3 linked regions of the Saccharomyces cerevisiae S288C genome follow. The gene in region 2 interacts genetically with the main gene of each other region. Each region holds a gene or a part of one and is shown on either strand. Other genes may lie near its edges.

Evidence for each region.
Region 1: mutations in SKT5 (region 2) and CCW12 impair growth when combined (synthetic growth defect), as found in Saccharomyces cerevisiae (5 studies listed by BioGRID, with this or other methods).
Region 3: mutations in SKT5 (region 2) and SMI1 are lethal when combined (synthetic lethality), as found in Saccharomyces cerevisiae (6 studies listed by BioGRID, with this or other methods).

Annotation. Positions count from the first base shown.
Region 1 is NC_001144.5:369,159-372,219, forward strand, and holds CCW12 (Ccw12p), read right to left. Parts: upstream 941-3,061; coding exon 539-940; downstream 1-538. Other genes in the region: thioredoxin peroxidase AHP1, read left to right, coding at 1-153; YLR111W (uncharacterized protein), read left to right, coding at 1,233-1,565; YLR112W (uncharacterized protein), read left to right, coding at 1,633-2,052; mitogen-activated protein kinase HOG1, read left to right, coding at 2,462-3,061. UniProt on the Saccharomyces cerevisiae protein: Component of the cell wall. May play a role in the formation of a tightly packed outer mannan layer, which protects the inner glucan.
Region 2 is NC_001134.8:105,356-109,114, forward strand, and holds the start of SKT5 (Skt5p), read right to left. Parts: upstream 2,052-3,759; coding exon 1-2,051. Other genes in the region: Arf family guanine nucleotide exchange factor YEL1, read left to right, coding at 2,577-3,759. UniProt on the Saccharomyces cerevisiae protein: Activator of the chitin synthase CHS3 which polymerizes chitin, a structural polymer of the fungal cell wall.
Region 3 is NC_001139.9:949,241-952,999, reverse strand, and holds SMI1 (Smi1p), read left to right. Parts: upstream 1-2,100; coding exon 2,101-3,618; downstream 3,619-3,759. Other genes in the region: prohibitin subunit PHB2, read left to right, coding at 1-452; BNS1 (Bns1p), read right to left, coding at 693-1,106. UniProt on the Saccharomyces cerevisiae protein: Protein involved in the regulation of cell wall assembly and 1,3-beta-glucan synthesis, possibly through the transcriptional regulation of cell wall glucan and chitin synthesis.

The sequences.
Region 1 (3,061 bases), on a different chromosome or scaffold from region 2:
GGTTTCGAATTAGCCGTCGGTGACGGTGTTTACTGGAGTGGTAGATGGGCCATGGTTGTTGAAAACGGTATCGTTACTTACGCTGCCAAGGAAACCAACCCAGGTACCGATGTGACCGTTTCCTCAGTCGAAAGTGTCTTGGCTCATTTGTAGATGCTATGTAATAGACAATAAAACCATGTTTATATAAAAAAAATTCAAAATAGAAAACGATTCTGTACAAGGAGTATTTTTTTTTTGTTCTAGTGTGTTTATATTATCCTTGGCTAAGAGGCACTGCGTATACTTCAAGGTACCCCTGTGTTTTGAAAAAAAACAACAGTAAAATAGGAACTCCGCGAGGTTCAGGAACCTGAAACAAAATCAATAAAAACATTATATGCGTTTCGAACAAAATTAAAGAAAAAGAATAAATATAGATTAAAAAAAAAAAGAAGAAATTAAAAGAATTTCTACTAAATCCCAATTGTTATATATTTGTTAAATGCCAAAAAAGTTTATAAAAAATTTAGAATGTATAAATAATAATAAACTAAGTTTACAACAACAAAGCAGCGGCACCAGCCAACAAAGCACCAGCAGCTGGCAAAGCCTTAGCAGCAGCACCAGTGTAAGAGGTGACAGAGTGAGTTGGAGCAGCAGAGGTGGTGTTCTTTGGAGCTTCAGTAGAGGTAACTGGAGCAGCAGTAGAAGTACCGTTCTTTGGGGCTTCAGTGGTCAATGGGCACCAGGTGGTGTATTGAGTGATAACGTCATCGACGGTGACGGTAGCGGTGGAAACCAAAGCTGGGGAGACAGTTTCAGAACAGACGTGGTCTTCACAAGAAGTGATGGTGACCAAAGTGGTAGATTCTTGGCTGACAGTAGCAGTGGTAACGTTAGCAGCGGCAGAAGCGACAGCGGCGACAGCGGCGATAGAAGCGACAGTAGAAAATTGCATTATTGATATAGTGTTTAAGCGAATGACAGAAGATTAATTTCTTGGTATGTTAGGAAAGAATAAAGGAGAATAAGAATAATTAGAACAATGTAGGATGGAAAGAAAGATTATCAAGCATGCCGACTTTATATACTTGAACGGAGGCAAAGGATGCAAAATTTTCTCACATTTCTTTCTGCCGTTATGTTGGAAGTAAGACTCCCATTATCGCAATACTGCAACACGAATATGCAAAATTTGCTGAGTTATCGCAGATAGTTGTTGCAAAGATAGCGGCGTAGGTGGCCGCGAAATGGGGAATTCCAAAACAAACGGTTTTTTTACTCCTGAGAAATACTTGTACGGGATAATCCAGGGCCTACCACCCACGCTTCGAGGATTGGCTTTTATTTTTTTTTTTTTGGTGGCGTTTTATTTCTTTCCCGCTTTCTGGGACTTGTGCGGAGTTTTGAGAGGGGCGCGCGGCAAAGGATTCCCAAAACGGAAATCAGACGCCAATAGCCAGCACTCAAAGCAGTTCTGGACCCATTCCGATTTTCCCATTTGGTTCTTGCGCGTGCTGATTCCGACACGCGCGTCTATAAATAGCATGAAGTATCCGCACACCGCAGCGTTAGTGAGGTGAGGGTGGCAGCAAGCTAATTCCCGCATCTGGAATCTGAACTGCCCCTTTTGGACTAACCGTGTGGTTCATGGGTGGGCGAAGTGCGCAACCTCGAAGGTTTTCTTTTGCGTGTCGGATTTTACATCCGGCGGTAGCGCATGATGCCATGGCTGGCTCCAGATACATCCTCAGGGCACCAGCATCTATAATTAGATTGGCGCAACATGGCTGGCTGCACTGCTGTCTTCACTTCTTTCTTTTTCCGGCAATGAATGATGTATGTTTTGTGGCAAAAGGGTCCGCATTGTACCTGTTTACAGTTGAGATTATCGTTTTTGGTAGCCCTTCATTACGGCATAACGTATTAAGTTTCTTTTATTTTGCTTTGCCCTGGTTTAAAAGACAATGTCGATTAAAAGTTAATTTTAATCGATTGAAGGAAATAAGAGGAATAGCGCAAGTTGTTAGGAAAGCGTTCTTTATCTCCAAGACTTTGCCCTGTATATAATTAAACACCTCAAAGCGCTTCGTCATGGATGGAGATTATTCGGCATTTTGACATACAGGAGTGCCACATGCGAAAGCGGAGTGGGCGTATTCTCTGGTTACCCTACATGGTCTGGCGGCGTTATTATACGGGAGGATCTTCGAAGGGAAGGAAGGAAAAAAAAAAAGAAAAGGCCAACGAAAAGCAAATATTATCTATCGTCGAAATTATCATACTATCTTACAATAAGAGTAGTAATTACTTTCTTGTTTGTATAGTGGAAGAGGAATTTGCGATAATAATAGCAAAAGTAACTAATCTCTAACAAGAAACCTTATTTATTTTCTCTTTCTTCTATATTGGTAAATACTAGACTCGAAAAAAAGGAACAAAGGGAAAACAGGGAAAACTACAACTATCGTATATAATAATGACCACTAACGAGGAATTCATTAGGACACAGATATTCGGTACAGTTTTCGAGATCACAAATAGATACAATGATTTAAACCCCGTTGGGATGGGGGCATTTGGGTTGGTTTGCTCAGCCACGGACACTTTGACATCTCAGCCAGTTGCCATTAAGAAAATCATGAAACCTTTTTCCACTGCAGTGCTGGCCAAAAGGACATATCGTGAACTAAAACTACTAAAACATCTAAGACACGAGAACTTGATTTGCCTTCAGGACATATTTCTTTCTCCATTGGAAGATATATATTTTGTCACGGAATTACAAGGAACAGATTTACATAGACTCTTGCAAACAAGACCCTTGGAAAAGCAATTTGTTCAGTATTTCCTATACCAAATTCTAAGGGGTTTAAAATACGTTCACTCCGCGGGCGTCATTCATAGAGATTTGAAACCGAGCAACATTCTGATTAATGAAAACTGTGATTTGAAGATTTGCGATTTCGGTCTAGCAAGAATTCAAGACCCTCAAATGACAGGCTATGTTTCCACTAGATACTACAGGGCACCTGAAATCATGCTAACGTGGCAAAAATATGACGTCGAGGTCGACATT
Region 2 (3,759 bases):
TCCTTCTTGTTCTTCAAGCTTGTAGGTTTTTTTGACTCAGTTTTTACTGCAGGAAAATCTTTACGAATCATGTTTGAACTGCCCATATTTGATAAACTAACTTCTTGCTTTGCTGCCATCGACTGCTCAGCAACTTCCCTTGACATTCCCTTTGCTGAGGAAGAACTTTTCCTGATGCTTGTATCAGAACCCGTTTTAATACCATTTCTATTCGTGTTTGAATTCATGTTAATTTGCAAACCTTGTGGCTCACGATCACGTTTTGGATTTCCAGTAAAGAATGTTTCAGATTTTGAAGAAACTCTTGAATTTGACCCTACGTTACTTGTTTGACTGTCCACAGTAGAGAATAAATTCAAAGTACTGATACTTTTATTTTTTTTATGCTGTTTTTTACCAATGCTGGCTAGTCCACCGTCCCTTGAGCGTAGCTTATTAATCGCCCTCTTGTCCTCGTTCCCTGCAGCTTTCTCGTACCATTTCCATGCGTATTCCATGTTACGATCACAGCCCTTGCCATGCTCATAGAAGTAGCCCAGAGTGAATTGGGCCTTTGGCAAACCAGCATTAGCTGCACGCAAGGCCCATTGAAAAGCCTCATTTTCATCTTTTTCAAAAGCAGGTTCTGCTCCCAGTAAGTACCATGCACATAAACCTAACATTGCCACAGAATCGCCTTTTAACGCTGCCTGCGTATAATAGTGTACAGAAAGTGATGTATCCTGCCCTACTGTATCATTACCTGTTTCATAAATCTGTGCCAACAAAGTTGCTGAAGGAACATGCCCTAAACTTGCTGCTTGAATATATAGTTCCATTGCATACTTTTCATCCGGAATGACAACATCTAAGAACCCTTCATGATAAATCTTAGCCAATTCGTATGGTGCTGCGGCCGTCAACTCATTAGCTCTTGCTGCAGCCCTTGATAACCATTTTACCCCATTTAATTTAGTATTAACGTCGGTTGGAAGACCCATTCTGCCGTAGAATGAATAAAGTCCCAATTTATACATTGCTGAGGGATGATTCCTGCTAGCCGCAAACTTTAAAAAATTGACTGACTTACGAGAATCTCTTGTTGTTCCTAGTCCTTCTTCTAAGCAATGCGATGCTCTGTAAGCACTTTCTATATGACCATGCTTTGCAGCTGCTTGAAATAAGACAAATGCTTCTTTATTTTCAATCTTCCCAAATGCTCCGGATGAGTAGCCGTCCGCTAATAAGTATTGGGCATCTGAATAACCCTTTATGCTCAGTTTCTTCAAATAACTTTGCGCTTCTTTCAAAAACTGAAGTTTTAAGTCAGATTGGCTGACATTTCCTTCCTTGTCACTATCTTGAACAAGAGCATTGGAAGATTCAATAGTCAGTGCGGTTTGTAACATATATTGCGCATACTGGAATAACACTTCAGGATCTTTAGATTTTTTAACGTTTTGTCTATACATTTCTATTGTTTTTAGCCTTGGAACTAAGGAAGTATTATTTTTACCACCCAAATATCGACTGATCATCTGATGTGACAAATCTGCTACAGATTCATTAGTAGCCGTTAATTGGGTATCACTGCTACCATTCAACAGGTACATGTGAGACAAATCTACAGAACGAGTTCTTTTCTTTATTTGCTCCTTCGTAAGAGATGTACTCGAATTTGTCTGTCTTAATGCTCCCGGTGACGGAGAATTTGTAGGAGTACTTCCCAAAGAACTTAAGGAAGTATTATTTGAATTATTAAGATGAAGCTGTGGGGGTGGGACTGGAACGAAATCTTCCTCTTGACTATTGCCTATATCGTTTGATAGTAGAGGTACTGACGCAGCTCTAAGATGCTCATTGATAAGCGGTTGGTTTGCCGACCGCTTAGGAAGGTCTGCGGTACTGAAGTCTTCATTGTCCCTGTTTTCCCTATTCTCTTTATTATCTGAAAAATCTTGACCTACCTTCAACGAACTGTTTTGAAACTGTAGGCCCCTGTTATCAAAATTTATATGCTGTGATTGCATTAAATGCTTCTTATATGGATGTACCTGCGGTGAACTTGCCATTTTTTATCCTTTTATTTTAACTTTATCACCAAAAAAGACGAGAACCTGGTAGTATACAATGGAAGGCTTATTAACAGCAAGTCTAAAGTCAAGTGCCAACACCTAGTTTGTCTCTACTCTTAAATCTTACATCATCCTCGAGAGGGTCTGCAGAAAGAATTTTTCGTTCTTTTTTTAGCAAGTCAAAACGCGAAGTGAAACGTGGGAAAATATAACGATGACCTTTCTTAAAACATGCATGAAGACTCGTGAAAGTCATATGTACATATGTCGTATAGATTTGCAGATAGTTGCAACAAATAATTAGCGATTAGTTATGGCCTATACATGGCAGCTAAGTGCGATGGCATGTTCAAATGTATTATATTAAATCAAATGAACTTAAAATGCGATGTTTGGGTGCAAAATATCTATAGATGATAGAGACGGTTCATTGATCTTACGGATCAACTTTGAGATCAGTAAGGCTGACTAGATGGTACAATTTTGTGCAGTCAATGGACTATTAAGGGATCGCAAAGAGGTATGTGCGCCAGTTTAAACGAGGTAAAAAAGAATGACACCTATGGGGTCTCACAAAAGGGCTACAATGACAATTTCAGTGAAAGTGAGGGCGTCCTTCATGGTAGTAAGTCGATGCCCACTAGCATGAAAAATATGCTACAGTCTCCCACGATGGTCAACATGTGTGATATTTTACAAAACAAGGAAGCTGCTAATGACGAAAAACCTGTGATACCTACTACGGATACCGCCACTGCGGGGACTGGTACTGAAGATATTAGCTCCACTCAATCCGAGGAAACTGATCAGAATAGTCATCTTATTGCCTCAGAGATCTTGGAAGGCACTTTCAAAGATGTATCTTACAAGGAATATGCAAATTTCTTGGGAAACGATAACAATAATCAAGTCTTGACTGAGTTTGTAAAGTTATTGAGTCCTTTGCCGTCGTCACTATTAGAAACGCTTTTCAATTTATCGAAAAGTATATATTTCATTGCAGAAGCGCAAAATATCGACCGGATACTAGAGTGCTTGAGCATAGAATGGATAGCTTGCCACCCGAACACACATTGGAAGTCAGGCTATAAGTCATGTCATATAGTCTTATTTTCCCTGTTGATCCTTAATTCGGATTTGCACAACAACTTTCAAGTTGACCATAAAAAGATTAAGTTTTCCATGGTTGCATTTATCAACAATACACTGAGGGCACTAAGAGAGGAAAATGAATACGAAGAATTGAAAATATACTCCCGCGAACATTTGATCATCGAAGAACTTTCCGAATACTATAAAACGTTAAATGAAACGCCTTTACCGTTATGCACAGAATCTAGAACATCAATAAATATATCAGATAACCAATCTTCCTTGAAAAGGTTCTCTACTCTAGGATCACGGGAATTTAGTACATCAAATTTACGTAGTGTTAACTCTAATTCTACTACACTATATTCAAGAGATGGTCAAGTATCTGTACGAGAAATGAGCGCAAAATCAAATAAAAACTTTCACAATAATCACCCCATGGATGCACTCTACCTTAAAGAGTCTTTTGATGACGGTTTAATTACCGAAAACGGCTCCAGTTGGTTCATGGACGATTTAATTCTTATAAGCAAGAAATCTTTACCACGTAAATATTCTAAAAGAGACAAAGATCAAGTGGCGGCACCAAAAATGACCTCTAAGAGAAACAAAT
Region 3 (3,759 bases), on a different chromosome or scaffold from region 2:
TAGTGGCCCAATTTAATGCGTCACAATTAATCACTCAAAGAGAAAAAGTTTCCAGGTTGATTCGCGAGAATTTGGTTCGTCGTGCAAGCAAATTCAATATCCTACTGGATGATGTTTCTATTACGTACATGACTTTTTCGCCAGAGTTTACGAACGCTGTAGAAGCAAAGCAAATTGCCCAACAAGATGCTCAAAGGGCTGCATTTGTAGTTGATAAAGCCAGACAAGAAAAACAAGGTATGGTAGTGAGGGCACAAGGTGAAGCCAAATCCGCCGAACTGATTGGTGAAGCCATCAAGAAATCAAGAGACTACGTGGAATTGAAAAGATTAGATACAGCCAGGGACATTGCAAAGATCTTGGCTAGCTCTCCAAATAGAGTCATCTTGGATAATGAAGCATTGTTGCTAAATACCGTAGTGGATGCAAGAATCGATGGAAGGGGCAAATAAATAGCGAAGGCTAGATATTATCTTTAAGAATTGAGTAACAATGTTAAGATGCCATATACTTGTGAATACAAAATAAAGGGAAAGAAAGCGATGCGTAAAACATAAATATTTGTATGTCTTCTAGAATAAGAATAAGGAGTATTACCCCGTATCATCTTGTATTGTTGGAGAACGTATATAGTATAATATGTAACACATACAGCAAAAAAATAGGCCAATTTATGATCATCATCCGTTAAATTAAATGTCTACATTCGGCTTGCGTGGTATATTCTGTTTGCCCCGCACAAACTCCAGTGTTTTGGGTTGCGATTTGGCTGAGAAAAGTTTTGACTTGTGATCATTCAGTTTTCTAGAGCATGGTGAAAGCAAATTGTCTGACGGCGACGCAAATTTTTGCCTAAGTTGCGTGTTCAAGTTTTTCCTTTGATCTTCCACTGCTTTTCTTTTCCGATACGTATTCTTGAATACTTGTCGATGAAGGCAATGCTTTGCAAATGTCTTCGTGTTATGCGCAACTTTAAGACTCATTTTCAAGTGTTGATTAAAAGAATCTAGATTTTCATCCCTCCTGGTGCAAGACACAGACGTATTTTGGATTTTTCTAATCAATTTTGTCACTATATCTTGGGATGCCGATCCGCCGTATGACATCGCAAATCTGTTACTTTTTTTTAGCGCAATGATGTAGTAGCCTCTGATTAACTTTTTTTAAAAAAAAATCACAGATAAGTAGAGGAAGAAGAATTTGCTGCTTATTGGGAACTTTCAATAGAAACCTTTTGTAGAGGATTTCGTTATTTGTTCAAGAGAATAAAAAGGTATACATTTGAAATCCTAGCATTAACTTCAGATACCTTCCACCTTACTAATCGCAGGCCTTTATGACAACGGAGGAGAGTTAGAACGAAGCAGAGAGGCTCCAATCTACATGGGAACATCGCAAAAGATGCGTACTCCGCACTGATCCATTTACCTGCAGGGCTTAACATGCATTGCACCACCGTTTGTACATCATAAGTTAATTACATTCCTTTTTAGGATAGTCTACTATTTATTTTTTCCCGTATCTGGAAAACCCCCTTAGATCCTTGTCACATAATCATAAAAATAAAGGCACCAAGCCCTAAAGCACGTGACATATGTCATTACCCTAGATTACATATAGGGCTTCCAAAGCCCTATTGGAGGTCGAAAAAAAGAAAAAAGAAAATAAAAAAGCGAAAAAAAGAAATGCATAATTCGCAGATTGTTTTTTTTTTCTTTTTCTAATGTCAGTTTTCCTACTTCGAGATCAAAAGAATGTTTTTGCACCGCAACTGAAAAGGTTGTGTTTTCTTTCCAGAGTAAATTACATTTTAATCAATTCTTTGCGCTGCTACGCAATCTTCAAACGCAAGTCCATTCTTAGAAATTTTAGCTTCTCTCAATATTGAAATATTTGCAAATACGCCATTCAAGAATCAAGCCTGTTGAAAATAAAGGTACAAAATTAAATCCGCTAATTATTTTTTTTCGTGTTCGACTAAAGTTATCGAAAAATTGAAAATATACAAGGACTAGCTATACTATCAATACGCAAAGAAAATACAAAATAAACGCACATTCGTTCTATAGGCGACAACTTGGCAGAATTTTTTAGTATAAAATGGATCTATTCAAAAGAAAAGTTAAAGAATGGGTATACTCCCTCAGCACTGACGACCATTATGCAGAGTATAACCCCGATGAAACGCCTACTTTTAACATGGGTAAACGTTTAAACAGCAACAATGGTCAGGTAAATCCCTCTCAAATGCATTTGAATAGTGTAGATGAGGAAATGAGCATGGGATTTCAAAATGGCGTGCCATCTAATGAAGACATAAATATTGATGAATTTACGTCCACGGAGTCAAACGATGGTGTCTCTGAAACCCTCTTAGCTTGGAGACACATCGATTTTTGGACCAGTGAACATAATCCAGATTTAAATGCAACTTTGAGTGATCCTTGCACCCAAAACGATATCACTCACGCAGAGGAAGACTTGGAAGTTAGCTTTCCCAACCCAGTAAAAGCGTCTTTCAAAATTCATGATGGCCAAGAAGATTTAGAATCGATGACCGGTACTTCTGGCTTGTTTTATGGCTTCCAACTAATGACACTAGATCAGGTTGTAGCTATGACTCAGGCCTGGAGAAACGTCGCAAAGAACCTAAACAAAAGATCTCAACAAGGTTTATCCCATGTTACATCTACTGGCTCTTCTTCATCTATGGAAAGACTAAATGGTAACAAGTTCAAACTGCCAAATATCCCAGATCAAAAATCTATTCCTCCAAATGCAGTGCAACCGGTATATGCACATCCTGCTTGGATTCCTTTAATAACGGACAATGCCGGTAACCATATCGGTGTTGACTTGGCGCCTGGTCCAAATGGTAAATATGCTCAAATTATAACATTTGGGAGGGACTTCGATACGAAATTTGTCATTGCTGAAAATTGGGGTGAATTTCTGTTATCGTTTGCCAACGATTTGGAAGCTGGTAATTGGTATTTAGTAGATGACAATGACGACTACTTTAGCGGTGATGGTGAATTGGTCTTCAGGGATAAGAAATCTAATGGTCCTATACAAGATTATTTCGAAGTTTTAAAAAGAAGAACGTGGATCAAGTATCAAGAAAACTTGAGATCACAACAGCAAAAATCTCAACCTGACACATCCTTGCAGGAGCAGAAATACGTGCCTGCCTCGCAAAAGAAAGTGGCAGCTGAACAGCCTTCTACCCTCAACGCAGAATCCATAAAGGGCGAAGATAGTGGTAGTGCAGATGTACAATCTGTTCAAGATCACGAATCTGTCAAAATTGTGAAAACAGAACCTAGCGAAGCGGAGACTACAACTGTAAATACAGAAAGCCTTGGACAAGCAGAGCATGAAATCAAAGCTGATAATGTAGACATTAAACAAGAAAGCGAGAGGAAAGAAGACGAAAAGCAACCAAAGGTTGAAGAAAAAGAACACGTTGAAAACGAACATGTCACAGAATCAGCAAAAAAAGACGATGATGTAAATAAGCAAACAGAAGAAATGAACAAAAAGGAAGAAAATGAAATAAGAAGTGATGATGCTAAAGTGGAAGAAGCGAGAGAAGAATTTGAAAATATAGCTTTATGAAATATCACAATTAACATTCTACAACCAAAAAGAAATTTGGACAATATTTATTTCTATTAAACTGTTCTAGGTAGGTTTCAACCTTAAGAAATTTATACAATATTATCATATATATATATATATATATATAGCACAATTCCC